3 linked regions of the Tamandua tetradactyla genome follow. The protein of the gene in region 1 purifies or fractionates together with the protein of each later gene. This does not show direct contact. Links are inferred from orthologs where the notes say so. Each region holds a gene or a part of one and is shown on either strand. Other genes may lie near its edges. The genes, in order: ARHGDIA, RHOC and EZR.

What was found.
Region 2: the proteins of ARHGDIA (region 1) and RHOC purify together in Homo sapiens (affinity purification with mass spectrometry; 4 studies listed by BioGRID and IntAct, with this or other methods). This does not show direct contact. The link is inferred for Tamandua tetradactyla from reciprocal best matches to the Homo sapiens genes ARHGDIA and RHOC.
Region 3: the proteins of ARHGDIA (region 1) and EZR purify together in Homo sapiens (co-purification; 3 studies listed by BioGRID and IntAct, with this or other methods). This does not show direct contact. The link is inferred for Tamandua tetradactyla from reciprocal best matches to the Homo sapiens genes ARHGDIA and EZR.

Annotation. Positions count from the first base shown.
Region 1 is NC_135332.1:74,062,244-74,069,895, forward strand, and holds ARHGDIA (rho GDP-dissociation inhibitor 1), read right to left. Parts: upstream 3,090-7,652; 5' UTR 2,983-3,089; intron 2,380-2,982; 5' UTR 2,311-2,379; intron 1,476-2,310; 5' UTR 1,449-1,475; coding exon 1,259-1,448; intron 1,151-1,258; coding exon 1,067-1,150; intron 838-1,066; coding exon 761-837; intron 686-760; coding exon 622-685; exon of another isoform or gene 445-621; coding exon 245-444; 3' UTR 117-244; downstream 1-116. UniProt on the Homo sapiens protein: Controls Rho proteins homeostasis. Regulates the GDP/GTP exchange reaction of the Rho proteins by inhibiting the dissociation of GDP from them, and the subsequent binding of GTP to them.
Region 2 is NC_135337.1:9,332,461-9,340,292, reverse strand, and holds the start of RHOC (rho-related GTP-binding protein RhoC), read right to left. Parts: upstream 3,071-7,832; 5' UTR 3,013-3,070; coding exon 2,955-3,012; intron 2,862-2,954; exon of another isoform or gene 2,534-2,861; intron 2,492-2,533; exon of another isoform or gene 2,375-2,491; intron 1-2,374. Other genes in the region: PPM1J (protein phosphatase 1J), read right to left, coding at 4,877-5,024, 5,173-5,324, 5,464-5,571, 5,729-5,792, 5,997-6,115, 6,695-6,779, 7,090-7,202, 7,471-7,758. UniProt on the Homo sapiens protein: Regulates a signal transduction pathway linking plasma membrane receptors to the assembly of focal adhesions and actin stress fibers.
Region 3 is NC_135328.1:151,859,563-151,867,320, reverse strand, and holds the start of EZR (ezrin), read left to right. Parts: upstream 1-4,713; 5' UTR 4,714-4,825; exon of another isoform or gene 4,826-4,910; intron 4,911-5,324; exon of another isoform or gene 5,325-5,608; intron 5,609-5,749; 5' UTR 5,750-5,825; coding exon 5,826-5,837; intron 5,838-7,758. UniProt on the Homo sapiens protein: Probably involved in connections of major cytoskeletal structures to the plasma membrane. In epithelial cells, required for the formation of microvilli and membrane ruffles on the apical pole. Along with PLEKHG6, required for normal macropinocytosis.

The sequences.
Region 1 (7,652 bases):
CACCTCCCTCAGAACACAGGCAGAAGCAGCAACGTGACACTTGACCACCATGAGGTGGGGGGGAGGGCCTGCGGGCTGGGGAGGGGTGCAGGGAGGGTTGGGAGAGCTCGGCCGGGAGGCAGATGGGGCAAGGGCAGGCGGCAAAGGGGTGGCCCTGTCAGCACTTTGGTCTGGGGATGGGGACAGGGAGGATAGAGAGGGATGGGGTATGTCTGTCCGTCCCTGCCGCCTCCCAGGCCTGGCCTCAGTCCTTCCATTCCTTTTTGATGGTGAGGTTCCACTCCCAGGACAGGTGGTCAGTCTTGTCGTCGTCTGTGAAGCGCGACTTGATGTTGTAGCTGCCCCGGGCCAGCATGCCCTTCGGTGCCTCCTCCATAGGCGTCAGGAACTCGTACTCCTCTGCCCGGGGCCCGTAGCTGCCCACCATGTAGTCAGTCTTGTCAACTGTGGCCGAGGGGGAGGACAGCAGTGAGCATGGGGACGGGAAGGCACATCCACAGGGACACACACGCACAGCCCTGCCTCTCACTCCTGCGGGTCCCAGAGCCGTCAGGCACCTGTACCCACTCCCTGCAGGGCCAATCACCTCCCAGGCAGCCGGGGCCCACTGCCCACACTCACTCTTGACCCCTTTCCTGTACGTGTACTGGATGTATTTCATGCCGGACACAATCTCCCTGTTCACCTGCAAGGATGCCGGTAGAGGGTCAGGGGGCTTCTCCAGGCCTCACCCCCTGAGGTCCCCCGGCCCCTGCCTTACCTGGAAAGAAATTTTTATTTGGTATTCCACCCCCTCCTTAAGCACAAAAGACGCTTTCTTGAAACTCTCCAGGTCACCTAGACAAAAGGAGAACACGCATCAGCAAAAAGTTCAGAGCAGGATAGCTCCCCGCTGCCTGTTAGACCTGGGACCCACCACCACCCGGCCCATGCAGGGCCCCCTGCAACCGGCAGTATCCTGGCTCACAAAGCCAAGGCTCAGCCCGCCGGGCTGCACCTGCTCAGCTTCCCAGCAGGGGGCAGCAGGCCCTAGGGATAGCAGCACGGCAGCAGGCAGCACCCTCACCTGTCAGGTCAAGCTCCAGGGGGCCCGGGGCAGTGCCGCACACCAGGGTCAGGCGGGTCACGACAACGTTGGGGACGTTGGGGTCTAGGAGAAAGACAGGTAGTCAGAACTCCACCCCTCTGCACAGAGGTGGGGTGCAGTGTGGGAATATGGGGTGACAGGTGTCCCTGGAGGGGGCCGCAGGGGCCTCACCAGCAGACACGGCCACGCGGCCTAGGAGGGCCTCCTTGTACTTGCGGAGGCTCTCATCATCCTTATCCAGCTCCTGGATCTCCTGGATGCTCTTCTGCGCGGGGGGTTTGTAGTTGACCGAGTGCTCATCCTCCTCATTCTCGGCTGCAATCTGTGCCAGCTGCTCGGCCGTGGGCTCCTGCTCGGCCATGCTCACCACGAGCCGGGTCGGGGACACCTGGGGCACAGTACTGGGCTGTGGCAGCCTGGACTTCTGATATAGCTGTTTGCTAGTCTGTCAAACTGGGGCCACCTCCAGCCCTTGCTGCAGGCCAGGCTGCCAGCTCGGCTAGCACTGTGCTGAAGAGGGCCATCGGCAGAGCTGGCCTCGCCACACAGGGCCCCGAGGGGGCCTCCCTCTGCAGCTGAGCTTTCCAGTCACCAGAGGAACAGCCTGAGACACGGGGGCACCCCCTTGCCCTGCTTGTCTCAGGCAGCTCTGCTGGGTGGTCCAGAGCCCACCCCAATTCGTGACACCTGGACTCCATGGGCATCCTCTGGCATCAAGAGACAGCAGGACACAGGTCACACCCTACTTCATCCCACTGCCATGGATACCACATGACCCAGGCCAGGCTGGTCTCCCAGCCCCACAGCCCTCCTGTGCAGCACAGGGGGCTCTAGGTGGGCCCCGGACCCCACGACTGGTAGGCCTCGAGCTAAATCATCTCCCACGCCAGCCAAGCCCCTGGCCCTGTTGCTGCTTCACACATGCCAAGTGATACCCCCACCCCCACAGGTCACTGAACTAGGTCTTCCTGGCAACGGATGCTGTCCCTCCCCCAGCCGCAGCCAGAGACAAAGCTCCAGCCCTGCAGGGGTCTCAGGGGAGTGGGGGCCCCGGGCTTCTGCCAAGGCCCTCTCCATTTGTGAGAGTCTGTGACCAAGGCCTGAGAAACCGCGGGGACCACTCAGACCTCTCAGGACCCAGGAAGTCCGGGGCAGCGTACTCCCTGCTAGGATACCGCTACCACCGTTGAGGAACCCAGCAGTTCTCTCTATAACCCACTCACTCGATCCTTCCGGTCAGTGGGAGCCACGAGATCTCGGCGCACTCGGGAGGCGACAAGCCCGGAGCAGACCTGCCAACATTAAGGATTCAGTGTCATGGGGCCGCGAGCTGCCGCCTGCCGGGGGTGGCCCAAGCCCTTCCCAGGCCTCCTGCTCGCCCGCTGGAGCAGCGTAGCCGCAGGGCACCCTCGGCCCCAGGGGCACGATCTTCCGCGCAGAGCGCAGCAATCCCGACCGGGCGCGGTCGGGCGCGGCCGGGCGGGGCACGGAGGCCCGAGGAGAGGGGCTCGGGACACCGCCCCAGGCCGCGGGATCGCTAGCGAGAAGCACAGGGGAACCACGACCCCGGCCGGGCGCCCACGCGCGCTCCGTTCCCAGGGGAGGGGCGCGCCCTAGGCCCCGCCCGGCCCAGCTAGGAGCTGCAGACGTGCCGCCCAAAGAAGGGCCTCGCCGCCCCCTTTCCTCACGTGGCGGCTGCCCGCACCCCGCGAGCCCCAGCCCCGCCGGCCCTGCGCGCCCCGCGCCCGCCTGGACCCCGGGGCGGCCGCCGTGGGGCGGGGCGCGGGGGCGGCGAGAACAAAGGCGGTCCCGCCCCGCCCGCCGCCACCGCCCGCGGCACCGCCCCTGACTCCCGGGCCCCCTCGTCCCCGCGCCCCGCGCCGGCGGGCACCCACCGGAGGCTTCGATCGCGGGCGCTCGCGTTCCCTCCGCACCGAATGACGAACGTCGCCGCCGCCCCACCCGCGCCCGCGGTCACTTCCGGGGTCACGCGACTTCCGCTCCGGCCGGGCGGGGTCGACGAGGGCGCATGCGCGGGCGGCAGGGGCGCGCGCCGCCATCTTGAGGGCCGCGAGTACGCGCGGCGGGGAGGCCTCGGTACCCCAAAAGGCCGTAGGCCGGCGTTGCGCGTGGGAGGGGCGCTCGGTTGCCGGCAGCTGGACCGCCCCCTACCGCCGCCTGTGCCTTTTCCTCCGGGCCCGGAAGCTGCGGGCCGGCTCCTGCCCAGGCCCTGGGCCTAGCGTGCTCTTCGCCAGCGCCGCGGGCCGTCCTGCTGTCTCCCTCCCCTGGACCCCCGGGAACCCTGCCGCCCGCCGACCCGCCCGGTACAAGCCCCACGCTCTCACCTCGGCCCTCGGCAGAATCGCAATCAAACAGTGCCTTGAAACGGGAGATGTCGCCCTGCGTACGGTACTACAGTAGGCCATCCCTCAAGCACCCAGGACGGACCAGAGCGTTCTTTGCTGGCTGTCCGGCCGCGGGTAGCAGGGCCACGGCCTGGCTCTGGACAGGCCACCCTCCCCGGGCTCGGGCAGACGCCGGCACAGCACACGCACACCTGTGTTGTCCCGCCTCGGAAACTCAGCACCCGAGAGCAGTCTCTGCGAGAGTGCTGGACAGATACTGACCTTGGTTGCTTTTGGAACGTTTGTGATTATTGAGGACTATCTTGGGATCTTCTGGGCTAAGAGTTGGCAGCGCAGGGAGTTTAGCCGGGCCAAAAGCAAGGCTTCCTTTCTTTTGGATGGTGAAGTTGCTTTTGAGGTTTCCCCGCTGCTGCCGTAGAGGCTGAATGTTCCAGTGGAGCTGGTACTCCTGTTTGAGTCATTAGTTGCTTGAGGAAGTCCGCTGCCTGGTAACCCAAATGCTTGCACACACACAAGCACACACACACACACACACACACACACACACCTCTAGGATAGAACATTTCCTAATACACTTTATTAGTGACAGATTGCTGGATGAAAAACTGCCCTGAAAGTTAGAATCTTACAACCACCGTTTATTATCTGGCTTGAGGTTGGAGCAGCTGAGCTGGGGGGTCCTTGGCTAAGGGTCTCCCTGGAAGCTGTGGTCTCCGAGGAGCCAAACCCAGAGGATCCACTTCCAAGCCACTCATATGGCTATGGGCTGCAGGCCACAGAGAGAGAACAAGCAGGCACTCGATCTCGTCCCTGCGTTTGGAAGTGCCGGCCATCACTTCTGCCCCAGCCTCCTGGTCACACGGGAGGCAAGGACATCAGCTCCCAGAGGTGGGCTCCCCAGGGCCACCCTAGAAGCTGCCCACCACCTCCACGGAGGTAGAAAGACTAGTGTGTCCCGAACCCAGTGGGCCTGGCCCGAGCTCCCACAGCTGCTCCTCGTAGCCAGTCTCCTTCCTCCCATGCACCGCAACCTGGAAGCAAATCTCAGACTTCTCGTCAAGCATAGATGTTTCAGGGCCAGTTTACAAGAAAAAGCTTTTTTTTTTTTTTTTTAAACAATAGCCACGTCCTCCACCTGTTTCAGGAACATCTTCAGCTACGTAACAAGCCAGTCCACTGTGGTGGCTTGAAGCAGTAATGCCTCATTCTCTCGTGTTCTCTGGGTCAAGTCAACTCTGTTGGGTTGTTCGCCCCATTGCAGTCAGATGGGAACTGTGCTGGAGCCACCCAAAGGTCTGTGTCTGAAAGCTCGGTGCCCTGCTGGCAGCTCCCACTGTTCACTGGGGGCCCCCCGACAGGTCCTCTTCCCAAGGGAGTTAGGCCTCTCCTTCAGGGCAGGGCTCCAAAATGAAAGTTCATCAGACTTCTGCAACTTCACTTTAGAAGAGCTAGAACCACGCCTCTGCAGGCTGAGCCATGGCCCAGGCCAGCCCCGGTGGGAGGGCTCATCAGGAAGAGAAGCCAAGGATGTGTGACCTTTAATGGAACTGCAAATTATTCACATTCCCCTTATGCATAAAGTAGTCACTCCTTCCAAGGCCTCCAGAGGTTGCATCCCATGCTGGCTCCAGGGACTTGGCACCAAAGCACATCCAGGCAACCAGGAGGCCATTGGACCTTGCTTCTCGCAATCCCAAAACCTGAGACATAAGAGCCAGGTGGTCTAGCGTGGACCTACCCCCACACCCTGGCTTGCGCAGAGGCCCCTACCTGGCCTCTCACCTCACCACCTGCAGAATCTGGCATCACAAAACAGCAGCTGGTTTACACTACTGAGCTGTGAGGTGTACCCAGAACACCAAGAAAATTCACAAAAATTCGTCATGTTGTAGTTGCAGCCAGCTCTCCTCGAATGCCTGGAGTTTGTTACTTCCTGTTTGAATGAGAACAGAGGTAAATTGCCAACATTGAGATGAGCTGACCAAGAGGCTGGTCCTTTCTGTGTCTCCTGGCCTTGCTGGAAGGACAATCGCTGGTCCTGTGGTGTCTTGGCGCCTGCCCGTGCTCCAGTGTGCAGGCACATGGCTTTTGTCTGCTTCCTGCAGGCTGTGCCAGCCCTCCAGGACCCAAGATCCTCTGGGTGTGAGGTGGTGCTTTGCTTTCACATCATCACAGTGGACAAGTGACACTATTTTGAGCCTTCTATCAAATTGGTATTAAAAAAAAAAAAGTTCCAAGTGCTGTGAGCATGCAGGATGCAGGTGCTGCCAGGCTGACCTGCCCAGCAGGTCATATGGAATCCATCTGGAGGAAAGTGCTGGATGGTTTTGCAGTGTTGGGCAAATGCCGCTGATGGATGGTGGTGAGGGGCCACTGAAGTGGGCCCTTCAAAGTTATGTCATGCTCATAACTTTGTTATGTCACCATAAAGATCAAAATAAAAGTCCAAACAAATCACAGTTGTGTGCAAAGGTTTAGTTACAAGGATGGTCGGTGCTGCTTTGTATAGCAGGGGATCTGATACCCGGGGCCATGCTGGGGAACAGGTCACTGTGCAGCCACTGGACTTCTGATTTCCTCACTATCCCTTACAGGGTGGGGACAGTGGAGATGGGAGCTCACACCATGAATGCCATCAATACACCGAATTGTAGAATTCAAAGGGCTTAAAGTGGGAAATGTTACATACATTGTAAATGTTCCCACAATAAAAGTTAAAAAAAAAAAAAAAGCTTTAATATTATCAGGTAATCCACTGTATTAGTTAGGGTTCTCTAGAGAAACAGAATCAACAGGGAACACTCGCAAATATAAAATTTATAAAAGTGTCTCATGTGACCGTGGGAACGCAGAGTCCAAATCCGCAGAGTAGGCTGTGAAGGCGACGATTCTGAGGGTCTGGACGAACTTCACAGGAGAGGCTCGCCAGCTGAAACTGGAAGCCTGTTTCTTCTGAATCCTCCTTATAAGGCTTTCAGTGATTAGATTAAGCATCACTTATTGCAGAAGACACGCCCCTTTGGCTGATTACAAATGGAATCAGCTGTGGAGGCAGCTGACATGCTCATGATTTAATTCTTTGAAGTGTCCTCATTGCAACAGACAAGCCAGCGCTTGCCCAACCATCATTTGGCCGAGTTGACACATGAACCTGACCATGACATCCACACACTCAATTTTACCCGAGCCCCCAGCCTTTTTCCCGATTGGTTTATTCCCCACACTTTGCACTTGGATAACGTGCCTCTCATCTCCTTTTTGGTGCTTGTGTCTTTTGGGCGTGGAAGAAGCCAGGTGTGGTTGGGCCCATGTTTTAGTTTGTTAAGCTGCCGGAATGCAATATACCAGAAATGGATGGCTTTTAAAGAGGGAATTTATTATATTACAAGCTTAAAGTTCTAACACCATAGAAATGTCCAAACTAAGGCATCCAGGGAAAGAGACCTTAATTTAAGAAAAGCCAGTGGGTCTGGAGCAGTTCTGTCAGCTGCCAAGTCACGTGGCTGGCATCTGCTGCTCCTGTGCCCCTAGGCTCCTTTGCTTTAGGTCTTTGTTCCTGTGGGCACTTCATCGCTTTGCTTCTCCTGGGCTGGCTTTCATCTCTTGGTTTCCCTTGGCTCTCTCCAGGTTCTGGCTCACTTAACATCTCATGGGAAAGCATATGGTGACATCTGCTGGGCTCCAAGCATCTCCAAACATCCATGTCTCTGTTCTGAGCCCTCTCCAAAATTGTTTCCTCTTTAAAGGACCGAAGTAAACTAATTAAGACCCATCTGAAATGGATGATTCACATCTCCATCTAATCAAAAGGTCACACCCACAATGGGGCGTGTCACATCTCGGTGGAAGTATTCTAATCAAAAGTTTCCGCCCTACAATATTGACCCCGGATTAAAAGAAACCCACAAGATTGGATCAAGGTTAAAACACGGCTTTTCTGGGGTACATAATACTTCAAACTGGCATGGCAGGCTTTCCCGTCCCCCTAGGCTGGTCCAGTTCCCTGCACTGATGCCGAGGCTCCCTGCAGAACTTGCCTGCTTGTCAGCTGCAGTGAGAGGCAGTGGGTGCCATGACCCCAGGCTGCCCATTTCCAGGTGCCCTCACCAAACTTCTGGTCAGCAGCCCCAGCAAACACCAATGACCATTTTGCACTTGCTTATTTTATTACGGATCACTAAATGAGTAATGTTTTATCT
Region 2 (7,832 bases), on another chromosome or scaffold:
CAGAGTGTGTGACTTTTCTATACGTCACCCTAGAGGTGGGAAGAAGAGTAGATGCAGGGAAATCCAGACAGAGGACAGTGGCAGCAGCCAGCCGGCTTCCCTAGCCCAACCCACCCTCGGTCCCCAAAGCTCCAAGTCACACAAAGAAGGCTCAGTCCTGGCAGTGCCCACAGCCCACATTCGGGCAGCCTGCCTTCCTCCCCCCTTCCTCCTGGGCCTGGCAGCAACACTGGGTCACTCAGCCCCAGGCAGGGGACAATGACCACACTGTAGGGAGCCACACAGAGCCACAGCAGAGCGACTGAAAATAATCCACTAGGGAATCACCTCCACCCACTCCCTGGAACAGCCCCCTCCTCCCCACTGTCCAGAGAACTCAAAGGCCCTGCCCACCCCTCCCTGTGACTCAGGGTAAGAAGTCAGCTTCCGGGGTTTCCATGTGCCCCCACCCCTAACACACAGGGCTGTGCATCTGCACAGCTCATCACACCTTCCCAGCTCCTCGCCCCTGAACTGAGCCTCACTTCCTCCTTCCCTGGGGAGGTGCAGACCTCCAGCCAGCTGAGGTTCTCAGGCCTACAGCAGCAGGGGAGGAAGAGAGGGCGGGCTCTGAAGCTGAGAAGAAGTCAAGGTTGCTGGAAAAGGGGTGGAAAAAAGAGCCCGGGCTGGGAGGAGCCCCAAAAGAAGAGACAAATGAGGGCCAATCCCAGCACCAATCAGGCAGGGATTGTTTAAGAAACAAGGGGATGGTAACCCGATCTCAGCCCCAAACCAGGCTTTTTCTCTCTCAGTCCCACATCCTGTCAAAACTGGGCTGAACTCCTTTGCTCCCCACATACCACCTCACAGCTCTGCCTTCTTGGAAGCGAATCCTCCAGCCCAAGGCTAGTTCTTCTCAACGATGGGGACTTGGGCTCCTCCCTCCCCTCCACACATTCACAAAAATGAGATGAGGGGAAGTGGAAATGAGTCAGAGAGAATTTATAGGAGTTGAGAGCACACAGCCACAAAAGTCTCCCAGAGTATCCCGAAAGGCAGGCAAGAAGGCATTCACTCTGCCAGCAGAGCCCCCCCCTGCAAAAATGAAAACCATCCTGCAAAAAGGGGGGTTCCCTGATAACCCCGTTCAGGTGACTGACATCAGGATTTTGTCCAACTTCCCCATCCACTCTCATTTGCTCAACTGGTCCAGCTGTGTGAAGACAGACTGCCGTAATCCCAATCTGGGGAGAGCGATGTTTAGGAGAAAAATCACCACTGGGGCAAATGCCAGTCACCCGAGTACGCCCTGCTCTGGTAGGGCAGTTTAGGTCGCAGCGCTTGCGGGAGGCAGAGTCCAGAACGCCAAGGCAGGGGGCAGCACCCAGTAATCCGAAGCCCCTGCCTCCATCAGAAGCCTCTCCCTTTGAGCTCTAGTTGGGCAGGAGAGCAGCCGGGGCCCAGCCAGGCCAGGCCACCAGGCCCAGGGCCAATATGGCAGGGACAACAGCTAGCTCCCTGTGAGAGGTAGCCCGGAGGATCCGCCCCACGGAGCCCATCAGGAGCCCCTAAACCCGCGTGCAGGCTAGAACGGAGCCTGGAACTTCGGGGGCCTTCCCTGAGACAAGACACTGTGACCGGACCCACCCGCCCCTCAATCCTTCGCAGGAGAGCTCTCCTCCTCAACTTTAAAACCAGAGGCGAGAGCAGGACTCAGCCGGAATCCCCTACGTTATCTCTGGCCCAGCTTAGAAGTGGAAGGAAGGAGATTCTTTTACCCCACAAGAAGGTGTCTGGGTCTTTCCCTTGCGCCTCTCCAACACCCACCCTAGACAAGCTCCAGAATCATCTAGGGCGGGGTCCAGACCCAGCCCGGCCGGGCAGCCCCCACCAGCCACACCCCGCCCCTATTCCCGCCACTCGCGGGGTCCGCGAGGGGGGATTCCCACCCCCGGTCGGACTCGGACCCACCTCCCCCACTTCCCCCCTCCTCCCCCTCCCCCCCTCCTCCCCCGGGTCCAAAGCGAGCCGCCGGGCCTGGGAGCTGCGGCGCCTGGCGGAGGCTCCTCGCGGCGCCCCAAGTCGCCCCCTCGCCCGGCGGAGGCAGGTTCCGGGAAGCCGGGAGAGGAAGGAAAGAAGCTCGGGCTCGGACACTGGGAGGTGAGACGCCCTGGCCGGCAGCTCCCGGAGACGCCTCGCTGCAACCGCGGGAGAAGCCGACCGGGCCCGGCCCCCGCACAGCCCCGGACGCCGTGTCCGAGGGGAGGGAACGCGGCCCGCGCTCGGTCCAAAGCCGCCTCCCCGGGCGGGCGCAGAGAGGGACGGAAAGTATTCTCCCGGGCCCCGGCGCGCAGGACCCCCGCGTCCCCAGCCCCTGGCCCCTGGCCCAGCCTACCTTCCGCTCGGGCGCCTCCAGCTGCGTGGCCGGTGCGGGAGGCTGAGACTGACCCGAGGGGCCCCGCCTCGCCCTCCTTCAGCGCCGCGGCGGCGAGGGGCGGGCCGGCCGGGAAGGGCGGGCCCGGCAAGGGGAGGGTCGGCCCGGGGGCGGCCCCTAGCTCCGCCCGCCCTGGGCCCCCGCGGCCTGGGACCTGCGGCGTCTGTCCCGGGATGGGACGAAAGTAGTGGGGAGCAACCGTGACTGCGGGGGGGGAGGGGCGGGCAGGCCCCCCGAGAGCTCAGCCTCGGCCCCGCCTTCCAGCCCTTGGGCGCGGGCGGGCGTCGGGAAAGTTGAGAGGCGCTCGGGGTGGGGTCAGGAAGGGCCGCTGCTGCCCTCCGGTGGCCGAGCAGCCGTCCGCTCCGGCCCGACCTGGGACCTGGCGGGAGGCGAGGCTGGAAACCCGGGCCGGGCGGAAGACGCCCACCCCCTGCAGCCCCACTGCCTGGTGAGTACCCTGCCCCGCGCCATCCCCCAAGCCTTGAAGACCTTTCTGAACCTTACAGGCCCAAACCGCGGTTTCCAAATGTCTAATTCCTACCTCCCTCTCCTGGAAATCCTTCCGGATCCCCAGCTGGGACTATAGTTCTCACTCCCATTGTATCATTTGTGTGCCTCCAGGGGCAGTTAGCCCAGTCTAACTTGTCGCACCGGGTCGGTGCGTACACCTGTGATCTCCTTCCCTGAGGACCGAGATGGGGGACGAGGAAGTCTGCAGTATCCTGGCGCCCGCTGGGTACACGCGCACGCTGTAACGCTCAACCCTCACCACAGGTCCTCCGCGATCTCTTTTGCCAGAGAGGAAACTGAGGCTCAGAGAAGGGGCAGGAATTCGAGCCCAGGTTTTTCTGGCTCCAAAACTGGTGCTTTCTCCTGGCTATGCTCCTCTAACCTGTCCTTTCCTCACTTTCTAGCACCATATGTGGCACGTAATAGATTTTCAACAGATATTTGCTGAATGGATGAATGTTCGAAATAACAGAGAGTTTAAAGATCTGAAACGCAAGCCACGCATTTGATAACTGAGGAAACGGAGATCCGGAGCAGCCCTCTACCTGGACCTATTAACTCACTCAATAAACGTTTATTGAGTGTGAACTATGAGTTATGCACCGAGGATCGATTTCTGCCTGCTTACAGTCTAAATGCAGGATACAGACAACTTAAAGATAGCTAACATTTATTGAACTCTATTAATTATGTGGCTCTATACACATTAGTTACTTTAATCTTCCCAACAACCTTATGAGGTAGTACCATTAATTTCTCCATTTTACTGAGCAAATTGAGGCTCAGAGAGGTTTCAGAGCTCATTTTGGGTCTTGCAGCAGAATCCATACAGCTGGACTCTAGAGCCCCTGCTGTACGCCCTCCTGACTCCTGATAGAGACAGTTAGAATACAGTGAGGTAGTGGCTGTCATGGGGCATGCATGGGCTGTGGGATCCCCAGACCTGAAGTGTCCAAGATATGGTGATGTGTAGATTTTAAATAATGAATAGGAGGAACTCCAGGAGGGTGGGATTTGAGGATGGTGGTGGTGAAAGATGAGGCTGGAGAAGGAAGCAATGGGCAGGTAATGAAAGTCCTTATATGCCACACTCAGTTGAGTGTGTATTTTGTCCTGAGGCAAAAAGGATCTCATGAAATGTTCTCACAGAGGAATAACCAACCTAGGTTCTCACTGTGGAAAAGTCACTCTGGTTGCTATGTCTGCAGGTTATTAAGAGGAGGCCTGGAGACAGAGATGAGTTAGGAGGCTGATAAAATAAAGAACTAAGGTGTGCTATTTAAAAACATATAACCAGCAAGGCTTAGTGATTGATCAGTTTGATACAGAAGAAATGGAAGCCAAGGGGGATCAACCCTAAGACTTCTAATGTGGACAACTGAGCTGGTGCCCACTAAGAGGAAAAACCAGGAGAGAAAAGATGTTTATGGGAGGGAATGATGAAGTCAGTATGAGGTATATTGATATGGGAGGGAATGATGAATTCAGGATGAGGTATGTTGAGCTGAAGTACCTGTGGGATATAGGAGTTGTTCAAAAGACACTTGGGTTGTGTAAGTCTAAAGCACAGGAAAGGCCTGGGCTGGAAATACTGATTTGGAAGATACCAGCAGATGAGTGAAGCCACAGGAGTGGATGAGAATGCTCACAGAGGGGGTGTGGAGTAGGAAGAGAAGAGGGGGGGAACACATTTTGGAACCGTTCTGGTGTTCTTTCCACTACCCCACAGAACTTTTCCTTCCTTTCAGCTTCTAGGCAAAGTAAATAAAGACACACAACTTTATCCATCGGATTTATTTACCAATTGCAGTAATTTTGGATCTAGGTAACACCCCCATCTTCAAGTAAACTGCCTCTAAAGAAGAATCAAGTGGACAGCTTCAGCATTTGGGCTGGGAGAGGGGTGGGCAAGGAGAGGCTGAGGTGGTAGTGGGAGAGATGGGGCTGTCTCTCTCAGGAGTAACTGCCTGGCCCTCCCAGGGGGATGACAAAAACCGAGATGTCATCCCCGGAACCCAGCTTGTTGTTGGGGAGACGCCAGCCACGATCCCGGGGGGTGCCCCGAGCCCCCAGGACCAGAGCTTGGGCCAGAGCTGTGTACCTGCCAGAAGCACATGTGCACTTTAAGTATCAATATGTTATCTGGGAATGATACTGAAGCCCATATATGGGTCCCCAAGCATTGCTTCTCTCTGCCCACCTTCCTTCCCCAGTGCCATCCCTCCACCACCATGCCATGCTGCCCCTACCTGTTGGGGTCATTGGGCTCATAGGCTGACAGCACCATGTCCACAGTGGCGGCTACCTCACAATCACTGGTGACGTCCCACAGCCCATCTGTCCCCAGGACCAACACATCATCCGGGCAGTGCTCATACTGTGTCAGGTCATACACTCGCACCTAGAGGGGAAGACGGTAGAAAGGACGAGGTGCAGGGTTTGGTGGACCGGGAGGTTGGGGATTAAAGAGAGCCCTGAAGAAAGCCAACCCAAGGCACCCAGAGGAGCAAAGATGTGGCCAGGGGCCCCACACGGCTCACCTCAGGGAAGCAGGAGAGGAAGGGCTTGATGGGCAGACTGGAACTGCAGACCTTGAGACTGTGGTCTCCTAAGCCCCGGGTCACCCCAATGGTGGCCATTACTCGAGCCTGAAGGGAATGAGGAGGAGGTGCTGCTGTAGTCCTCTCCTGGACCCTCTGAAACCACAGCCCCCTTCCACCCTTACCCTCAGGGAAAACCCCCACATCCCTAGATAAATTGTGGTGGGTCCTGCTGCCTTCTCCCACCTCTACCACAGGAGTTTACCTTTTTGCCCTCCCCACAGACCAGAGGAAACCTGAGATCCTCCAGCTCGATCTTTTTGTAGGCCCTGGGGAGGGAGGAGTAGAGGAGGCATCACCCAGGTATCAAAGCCCCTCTCCCCTAACTGCTGCACACCCTCAAGCAGACCCCTTAGGAGGGCCTCATCCCCCCAACTTCCAGCCTGGCCCAGCCACCAGCTTCCACCTTGCTGCTGGCCAGGGACTGCTTGCGTTGCCATGGGAACGGGCCCCAGCTCTAAGGGAAGTGTTACCAGCCGGTCATGTTGTGGTCCCGGTACAGCATTCTCTGCCCCAGCTCCTTCGGCTGCACTCTGCGGGGGAACTCAAGGTGGGTAAATTCATTGCCCAGCAGCTCTGGTTTCAGAAAGCCCTGGGGTTGAGAGTGGACAGACAGAGCAGAGGACCAGGGGGCATCAGGGTTAACAGTACATGCTGGTATATAGATGGTATGAATAATAGCAAACCTTTAAATAGAGTTTACTATATGCCAGGTACTGCTCTACTATTAACCTAGATTGAACCCATTTATCCTGCAATAACCTTTAAAACAGGAACCATCAATGCACAGAGGGGCGAAGGGAATTGTCCAAGGCCTTAAAACTAGCAATACACTTGCCCAGGATTTACTACCAAGCAGTCCAGCTCCAGGGCCCAGACTTTCAAGCACTAAGCCATGCTCTCTAAGCATTAAGTCTGGGGCCTTCGCTATTTCCTTCCCCCACCTCACACTCTCCTTCCTTCCACAGCTGGGGCCACAGTGGGAGCTCTTTCCTGCTGCATTATCCCCCAGCTCAACCCTGCATTCCACAGTCCACAGAGTGGTCTTCCCATTAAACAGTAAGGAGCTTTCTGTCTATATGGTGAGATGTGAGAATTCTCAGGGACATAAGGTGCAGAGAGGCACAAAACCCAACAAAGAATAAGGGTGGGGAGTTTGGTTCCTACTTACAAGCAGCTGAAGACGCTGGCGCTCGGTCTCCGGGGTAAATTCCCGGGACATTGGAATGATTTCACCATTCCGGACAATGATGGCCCTGCCCAGTTAGAGGAAAGGCCCATGTGAGGTATGGCTACTACCTGAACTTATGAGCTGTGGGAAAGTTTGAACCTGGCTCTCCTGAGCCCCCACATGGAGAATTCTAGAAAGACCAGGCCTTCCCCCAAATGACCCTTAGGGTGCCTCACCCAAACCCCCTTACTTCCTTCCCCCATTGCTATTTCAGGCCTTTCCTTGTGTCTATGATCCCTCCTGACTCCCTTCAACCTTTGATTTTTTATTTAACCCCTGCTGCCTCAGAGTGTGGCCCCCTGAAGCCACTTTCAAGAGTAGCCCCCCCCCCATACCTGCTGTCGCCTGCATTGGCCACATACACCTTGCCTAACAGGTAGATCACAACCAGTGCACAGCAGCCCCCCTCCACTTGGTGGCCATGCCGCTCCTGGGCCATCTGCTCATCCTGCCACACAAGGAAGAGTCAGAGGAGTAAACAAAGAAAAGGTTCCAGGCGCACAGCCACCCCTTCCATCTGCAAGAAATAAACTGGTCCAGCCAAGCCACACTGGAGAGGAAAGATATGGGTATCATTCTTCCTTTCCCTCCCCTCTGAAGCGAGCTCTGCTCCACCTCTCAAGGATTTTCAGGGTCACCCCACCCCCAGGCCACCAGATTCCCACATTAACTAGAGCAGCTTCTTCATGGACCGCTGGCTTATGTCATCCACTCACCATGAGCTGGAAGGCATTCTCAATGGCCCCCACCACCAGGCTTTCATGGGTCACTTCCTTCTGTGAAGGCCAGCAGGACTGAGGACCAACCACATGAGAGGGATCACAGGAGCCTGGGGCTCCTGGAGTGGAAGGGAGGCAGAGTGGGGGTGGCGTGGGGTCCTGAAGGATCTCTACCAGGTCCCTTAGCTGCTCCCGGATGTGGCGATGCAGGAGGCGCGAGGCTACCTCAGCAGCTCCACCCCCTGCATGCCCATCAAACAGGCCCCAGTAGTAGAAGCAGAGTCCCTAGTGGAAGAAGAGTTGGAGGTGAGTGCACACACACATGTGCATGTAGGGGTGTGTGGGAGTGTGTGTGTATA
Region 3 (7,758 bases), on another chromosome or scaffold:
TAGTGGAAACTGAATAGCCTTCTCCAATTGCATCATCCAGACATAGCCTCTGTTCTGAATTTTCTTTTTTTTTTTAACATGGGCAGGCACTGGGAATCGAACCCAGATCCTCAGGCTTGGCAGGCAAGCATTCTTACCTGCTGAGCCACCGTGGCCCGCCCTGTTCTGAATTTTCACCCGAGGTTATAAAGTCCTGGAAAACAATCAAAATCCGTGTTTTACCCAGGATACTTTTTTTTTTGATGTTCCAACAAAACTTTATTTACAAAAGCAAATGATGGGCCACTTGTTTGCTGTTACCTGGTTTAGAAGATATACATTATGACCATTAAGATAAAAATACTCTTATCAAAGTCATGTAATTGCTAGTAGAGAGAGGGAAGGGAACAAATGAATCCTTTCAGAAATCTAATACAGTATTAATATAGTATTTTGATTCACCAACATCACCTCCTTTGGGAAAGCACTCCCTTCCCCGTTCTAATTTGTTCTCATAAACTGTCAATCATGGGGCCTTGCCTCACTCACCATAGTGGAGGGCAAATGATCCATACTTGGTGACCAGATTCTTCCTCCTGGATACGTGACTCTTCAGTGAAAAAAATCACAATGTCTGAACACTTGGAACTTAATTATCTGATATTAATGCTCTAGATAATCCATGAATTATTGCTGCTAAAATCTCTGGTGCTGTACTGCTTTCTGTCTTTCAAGTTTGGAATGTACTATTCTCCCTTTTTATTTCTCTCAGTTTCTCAGTAGTAACACAACAAATCCATTTTTCTTTCCTAAATAAGAGGTAGTTTCTATTGCTTGCCTCTAAAGAATCTTAACTGGTTTAGCAGACAAAGCAGCTTTCCTATCTGAGGACATTTTAGCACTTTATGCCTCCCCATGGTTTGGGTAAAAGACTCTAGGGTTATTTGATATAGATCTTTCGAACCCACTAAACGAAATATCGGAGGAAACAAGAATAAGGATCAGAAAAAAAATCTGTGAGTTCTCCTTTAGGAATGCTGAACATAATGGACTCAGCCTTAAACAATTCATAAAAGGAACAAGCATATTCAAAAGACTGCTTTATATTTACCATTGATAAAACCAAGCTATTAAACCAACTTAAATCCAATAAGGCTATTTTTGTTGTTTATTTTGTTTTTAATTTCCAAGTACATTTTACCAAGAAGTTATTCAACAGATTTTAAAGTTTGTATGAGTTATAGTTCCGATTTTTCATTTTTTGTTCTAAGATACTGGAGACCAAAAGAAATACCAGTGTTGATTCAGCAGTCATATTCATTTGTCAAATCCTATCTTCTGTATTGTATTCTTTGCTCTTTCTTTTTTGTGAAAAAATAACATACTTACAGAAAGCAATAAATTTCAAAGTACATTGTTACAACTAGTTGTAGAACAGATTTCAGAGACTAAAACAATTATCAACATACTAATTCAGCTAATTAAAAATACTTATTTGTTAAACTCTGCCTTCTCTGTATAAACTCCACCATCATCTTTGATCTTTCTCTCACTCTTTAGGGGTATTTGGGCTATGGCCCTTCTAACTCTTTCACGTTGGAAGGGGCTGTTGATAATGTGGGATAGGGGGATGGAACCAGTAGATGTTCTGGAAAGGCTGGCCCCTCTGCATTTCAGGACTTCTCCGGTCCAGGGGCTCACCCCAAGGATATTTTTAATGTATTTCCCTATTACTGTTCTCTTGAAGTGGCTGAGACTTCACATAATTTTAAAAAATTAATTCAGATTAACCTGGCACCAGTGTGGAGATATAACAGCAATAGGCCCTGATGTGATTTTATATAAAATCTATCTAGGTATCAAGGGACTGTGAATGTTCTGTGTACAAGTTCTAGTCCTTGGCACGGTTTCTAAAGCTGCTGTGAGGACTGTCTACCTCACTTTTGGTTAACCTTGCCCCGCAAACCCCAACCAATTTACAAACCAGGCTGGTGAGGTAGACAGATGATTACCCTCTTCCTACTGAAAAACTAAAACCCTTCAATGAGGAATGAGTCATTCAAGGTCAGTCAACTAGACTAAAAGAAAGCAGGGGATAGGATCCAAGATTCCTGGCTCCAGTGTTTCCTTATTTCCTGCAACTGCATTTATTATCATACATTAAACAAAACCATGACTTAAAAATACAGGAGAATAAGTTGCCAAAAAAGGCTGAAGGGAGAGGCAAGGTAAATAGCGTCTATCAAGATCCTGCCAAATCCTAAGTCAGTTGTTTCTTAAATTTAGGTATAAGTCAGAATCACCTGGGGATCTTGTTAAGGGCAGAGGCCCAGGATCCACTTTAGGATTACTGACCTACAATCCCTAAAAGTAGGGCCTCCTTGAGAGATTCCAGTGTACACCAAAGCTTGAGAACCACTGTCCTAAGCAATTCCATAGGTCACCTTGTTGTTCAATCTTCTGTATGTATATTGTATGTGGAGGTGTGGAGGCAGCGGTAGGGGAAGGGTTTAGGTTCTCAAGTCAGCTGAAAATAAAATACCCTCGGAAAGTCCCCTGAAAACAACCATAAAATACAGTACAAATGTTTTTGTGAAGAAAAAAGAAATGTACAGTAGGATATAAGTACAATACTTAGAGAAATATATAGAATGAGGAATACATATGTAAAATATGACTTTAACTTATAAAAGAAAGAGGATTCTTAAAGTCAGATTTGAGTAAGTTAAATGCTTACGAGTTGATGGCATAGAATACCATGAAATATATATTATTTCCATTTTTTGAACGAAGAGGTGGAAGAAGCTCAATGAGGTTAAGTGATTTGTCCAAAGTGACCAGCTTTTAAGTGCTGGAAGGGGAATTCAGACCCAGTTTAGCTTCCTTCCAACACCTGCCATTTTCTCGTTTTTACCACACTGCCACAGGCCATGTTATTTTTTAGCATTCCCTGAAGAGTAAAGTTCAGAAATGCTCCAGAAGGTCTTGGGCCACTGCTATTTCAAACATCCAGTTTAGAAAGCCATATACTTTGAACTGAGTAAGATAAAAAATGAGAGTAGAAGCATGTTCTACCTGCAGAGTTGGGAAATCAGCATGGCTCCAGGCAGTGATGAAGTGAATACCACAGCCACTTGGACACATATCATTCGGGTTATTTAAATATTATTCATGGTTTCCTTCCTACTGCAGTGATCATTACTTCTTTATTTAAGTAAAAAAAAAAAAAAGAAAGAAAGAAGGGAAAGAGGAGGGGAGGGAGGAGGGGAGGGAGAAAGGAAGGAAGGAAGGAAGGAAAGAAGGAAGGGACGGAGGAAGGAATAAATTCAGTTTTTCAGAGGGAAGACATTTGCTAGGAGAGAAGACAAAAGCTCAGGCAAGGCCGTGCTCCTCACCTCCGGTCTTTGAATTGCTTAGATTTGGGAGGTCTCGGGTGGACTGACCTAGGGTAACCTAAAAAAAAAAAACAACTCGCTTTGGGGACTGTAGTATCTCAGTTAATCGGAAATCCTAGGTAGGACGTGCTACTTTCCCCACTTTATATTTACCAAGTTTTAGTTTGATACTTTGTGCAAATCGCGGATTACTCTCAGTGCCAGGCTCAGTTCTAAACATCTTACATGTATCAACTCATTTAATCCTCTAACAACCCTATGATATGGCATACTGTTATATGCCATTTTACAGGTGAAAAGACTATAAAGCACAAAGAGGTTCAATAACTTGCCCATTCTGACAGTGAGTTGCTGGGCAACCGGGAAAGTAGTTCAGGAGAAGATCTGGATGGCAACCTTCAGCCTTCATCCCAATCACCAAGGGCGAGGGTTGGGGAGGGAAGGGTGTTGCTAATACCCAGGCTCCTGGGCCCCACCCCCAAGAGTTTCCCATTGAGTAAATCCGAGAATTTCAGTTTGTTCGTGTTCCTGGGTGGTGCTGATGCCGCTAGTCTGGGGCCCACACTCTTGAGAATCACAGTTCTAGAACTCGCGCCCATAATCACTGTGCAACAAATTCCACTGGTCACCAGATGTGCGTGAGTTTTTGTTTTAAAAAAAGATTCCTTTTGAGAACCATTTGCCAAAAAAAAGGATAAATTCCTAGAATTTCAGAGGAAGCTTCCTACGGCATGAAATAAAGTTTTTTTTTTTTTTTGCTAGTCAAGTCAAACGAGGGCACAAATTGGTCCTTTAGTCACTGCATTCCGCGATCGTTTCCTCTCCTTGTAGCTTAGCGGAAACGGAACCGGAGGCCCGGTGGCCTAATGCGCAGAGACGCCCATGCCCGCCAGGTCCCGCCGCTCGGTTCCTGGGACTGCAACATTCCCTGACCACGAGGACGGCCCCACCCCAAACCCGCACAAGTTCCCAGGGCTGCCCGCCACAACGCACTGATTTAATTCCCTTGACTTCCGTCTGTCACCTTACGTCTGCTATCAGAAGTTAAACCAAATTCTGCCTAGGTTTTCTCCAAGGGCGAGGGAACGGGCCACGGGGAAGGCCGAGGTCTTTAAAACAACAGAAACAGAAAGCAGGGCGGGGGGTGAGGGGCAGGGGATAGCCTGCCCGAGTTTCCTCCGCTCTGGGATGGCCCCGCCGGGGTACAGGGGGCCGCCTGCGAGGCCGGAGGGGTCGGCCGGGCGGGAAGGGACGCCCGCCGCCCGCGGCCATCTTGCGCTCACCGGGGCGCACCTCACTCGTTGGGCGGCCGAGGGGCGGGGCGGAAGGGGGCGCGGCCGGGACATCCCCTCCCAGCCTCGCCCGGGACTGGCGAATGCGGACGGCGGCGGCACACCACGGACGCACAGACAGCGGCGACAGCACAGCAGACCACTTGGCAGACGCCGTGGGTAAGCCGAACGCTTCTGCCCCGGGGTGCGGCGGGGGGCTGCTTAGCGGGGTTGGCGCCGTGCCGTCGGCAGAAGGGAGCCGGAGGTAGGGGGTCGACGACAGCTGTGGCGGGGGCGGCCGGGCCCGACGGGCGGGGGGCAGCCGTCTCGAGTCCGGGGTTGGGGAGCCAGGAGCCAGCCCCTCTCTCCTCCGCCTCGCTCGAGTTCCCTTACCCGGCACCGCTCACGGTCGACCCCAGATCGTGGCAGGTGGTGGCCGCCGGCTGCGGAAACGCCCGCCTTTCTTCCACCCTCTCCCTGCACATCCCCCTTCTCCTCCCCCCGGGAGTGGAAGCGGGGCCCGGGCGGCGCGGACGCCCCTTCCTTCCTGCCGCACTCGGGTCGAGCGGGCCCTTGGCCGCTTCCCGGCAGTTAAAATTTTAAAAAAGTGTTTCTCAAAGATGTGACTGTTGTGGTTTCAGCCCGGGGGCGAACGGTTGCTACACAAAGTGAAACTTACTGTTTGCTGGTTTACTCGTTGCTTCCTTGAAACCCAGAGAAGCACCTCGCTGCCCACCCTTCGGCGAGACCCTCGTCTTCCGGGCCCCTCCCTACCGCTCGCACCTCCTCGCGGGAGCGCTGAGGCCCGCGCCCCCTTCCCCGCCGCCCGCCTCCCGGGGTCGCTAATGCTCCCTTCCCACGTCTGTCTCCCTGCCCGGGCCCACGCCCCGAGGTCGCCTGCGGCCGGCTCCCCCTCCGCCAGCCTTTCGGCCTCGAGCGCTGGGCCCGCCCGGCCCGCAGTAATTGTGGGTTGGGCGGTGACTCACCCGGGCGCCCGCCGGGCGGGTTCTTAAGCCGCGGCGCGCGGGGCGGGCGTGGGGTCTCCGTCCTCGGCGGGAGGATCCCAGCAGCCCTGTGCCTTACAGGACTGTCCTCTTCCTCCAGGTTGGAAGAATCACTTCGGCCTCTCCCGCGGAGCTGAGTTTCTAGAGAATCGACGAAAACACGCCAGGAACCGAAAATGCCGAAACCAGTAAGCAATCCAGTTTCCGACCCGGGCGGGATACTTCAAGCTTTACTTTCAAGCAGGGTCACCTGCATGAAGTGTTGTGGAAAGTAGTTGTAGTACAGGGTTCTTTCTTAAACGAACGAAAGGACGGGAATAGGGAATTGCCTTGCTCTTGGTCATTTAGGTACCTTGTGGAATTCTTCAAGAAAACATCATGGTACTTTTCTTTCTACAGTTTGTGTGTGTGAGACATCCCTCGGTCCCCATAGCTATGGTCCTTTTTAAAACAAATAGAAGCCCCTATTACACTGCTTTATAGTGTGTTCTAAAAGCGTATTCTGTTGCAACTTCTTAAAAAGAAAAGTTGTCTACATGGTAGGAAGACGCTAAGTGGCTTCAAGAGGACATGCACCGACTTGGATTTAAGTGTGGAAACCAAATGTAACCGACTTCTTCCTTTAGCCCAGGAGATGCTGTTTTTCTGGCTGTCAGCTTATGGTTCATTTTACAGCAGGCCTGTGAAACCCGTACTGTTAACCAGGGAATTTGCTGGTAGCAGCAGAATTCCTATCTCTAGAAGAGGTAATGGACTTGAATTGCAGATGAAGGTAGCCAGTGGAGCTTGATAAGGAGGTTCCTTAGACTCTTGCAGGTCATGCATTCCTGGTAAACAATACCTGATTAAAGTTCTCCTGTGCCCTTCACCCCTGTCACCTTGAATCTGATTGTTTAGTACTGGGTTAGATTGCTGGCCAGGCCTGGAGGGTTACAGCCTTTGAGTTGTGGGAATAAATCTGGTTTACTGCAAATGACATTTCTTAGAAACTTGTGTGTATGCTCCTGGCTTTAACACAGGTGAACTGGCGACTAGACATTGGGGAGATGGCTTAAAATTTTAAATTGAATTTTGAATCACAAATGTGGCTGGGTTCCCTCAGAATTGCAATAGGTTGGTTTTATAATCAACAACTGGTTAAATGTCGGTTTTATTCCTTCCCATTAAACTGTAGAGTCTGTAAAAGGAGTTCTTGATTAAGTCTTATTTTACCGTTAAGAGTAAATTAAATTACTATAATGATATGTTAATAGATACAGAAGTAAATATTATTTTTACTTGTTCTATCTTCAAGGTGATTCATTTGGGATCCAGAACATCTTTTTCCTATACAAAATAATTCTTTTCTTTTCAAATTTACAAGTGACACGTGAAATCTGGGCTTTATAATGCCAATGTTGTAAAACTGACTTCTCTAATCAGACATAGCTCAGTTAACACTTTATGCAGAAGAGTAGTCAAGAGGTGCCACTTCCAGTGTGATTTTCTTTATTTCACTAAAAGAAAAGATGCAGAGCTTAGCTTTATTTAAAATGGCACTTAGAAAACAGCAAATCTGTTTCTTATTCCTATTTTTAAAAATTTTCAGAATGAACTGCCATTTATTTTTTTGGTTGCAGGTGTGTTTTGATTTCATATTCCTAAAGATCTTTTATGATGGATCAGAAACTTGGACAATGTTCTTACAATGTGAAGATAGTGTTTGCACTGTTCAGGAAGGATAGTAGTTGTTACCTTGTATATCAGTGTTCCAATAACTAGAAATTCTGTAATTTTGTATAATATCTAAATTTATGCTTGTCAGACGTTCTTGAGGTCTACTTTTAGATGAACCACACCTGTTTGCTGTAGGAAGTTCCTATCTGCCCGTTTTTCTTCTGGGAGAGCCTTGGTAAGATAAACATTCTGGGGATTTTCTTTGTGTGACTTTGTGTTAGGCCCACCCCACAGACCACTGAGAAGAGTTGAGTAGCCTTCAAGGGACCACTAAGACTGTTTTAGAGAATCTAATGCTTTTTTTCTCTTGCCTTCCTCAGCAAATGTAAAATCTCAAACATCACCAACATGTTCTTTAGATGTATCCTTTAATTGAAAGGTTATCATGTCTAT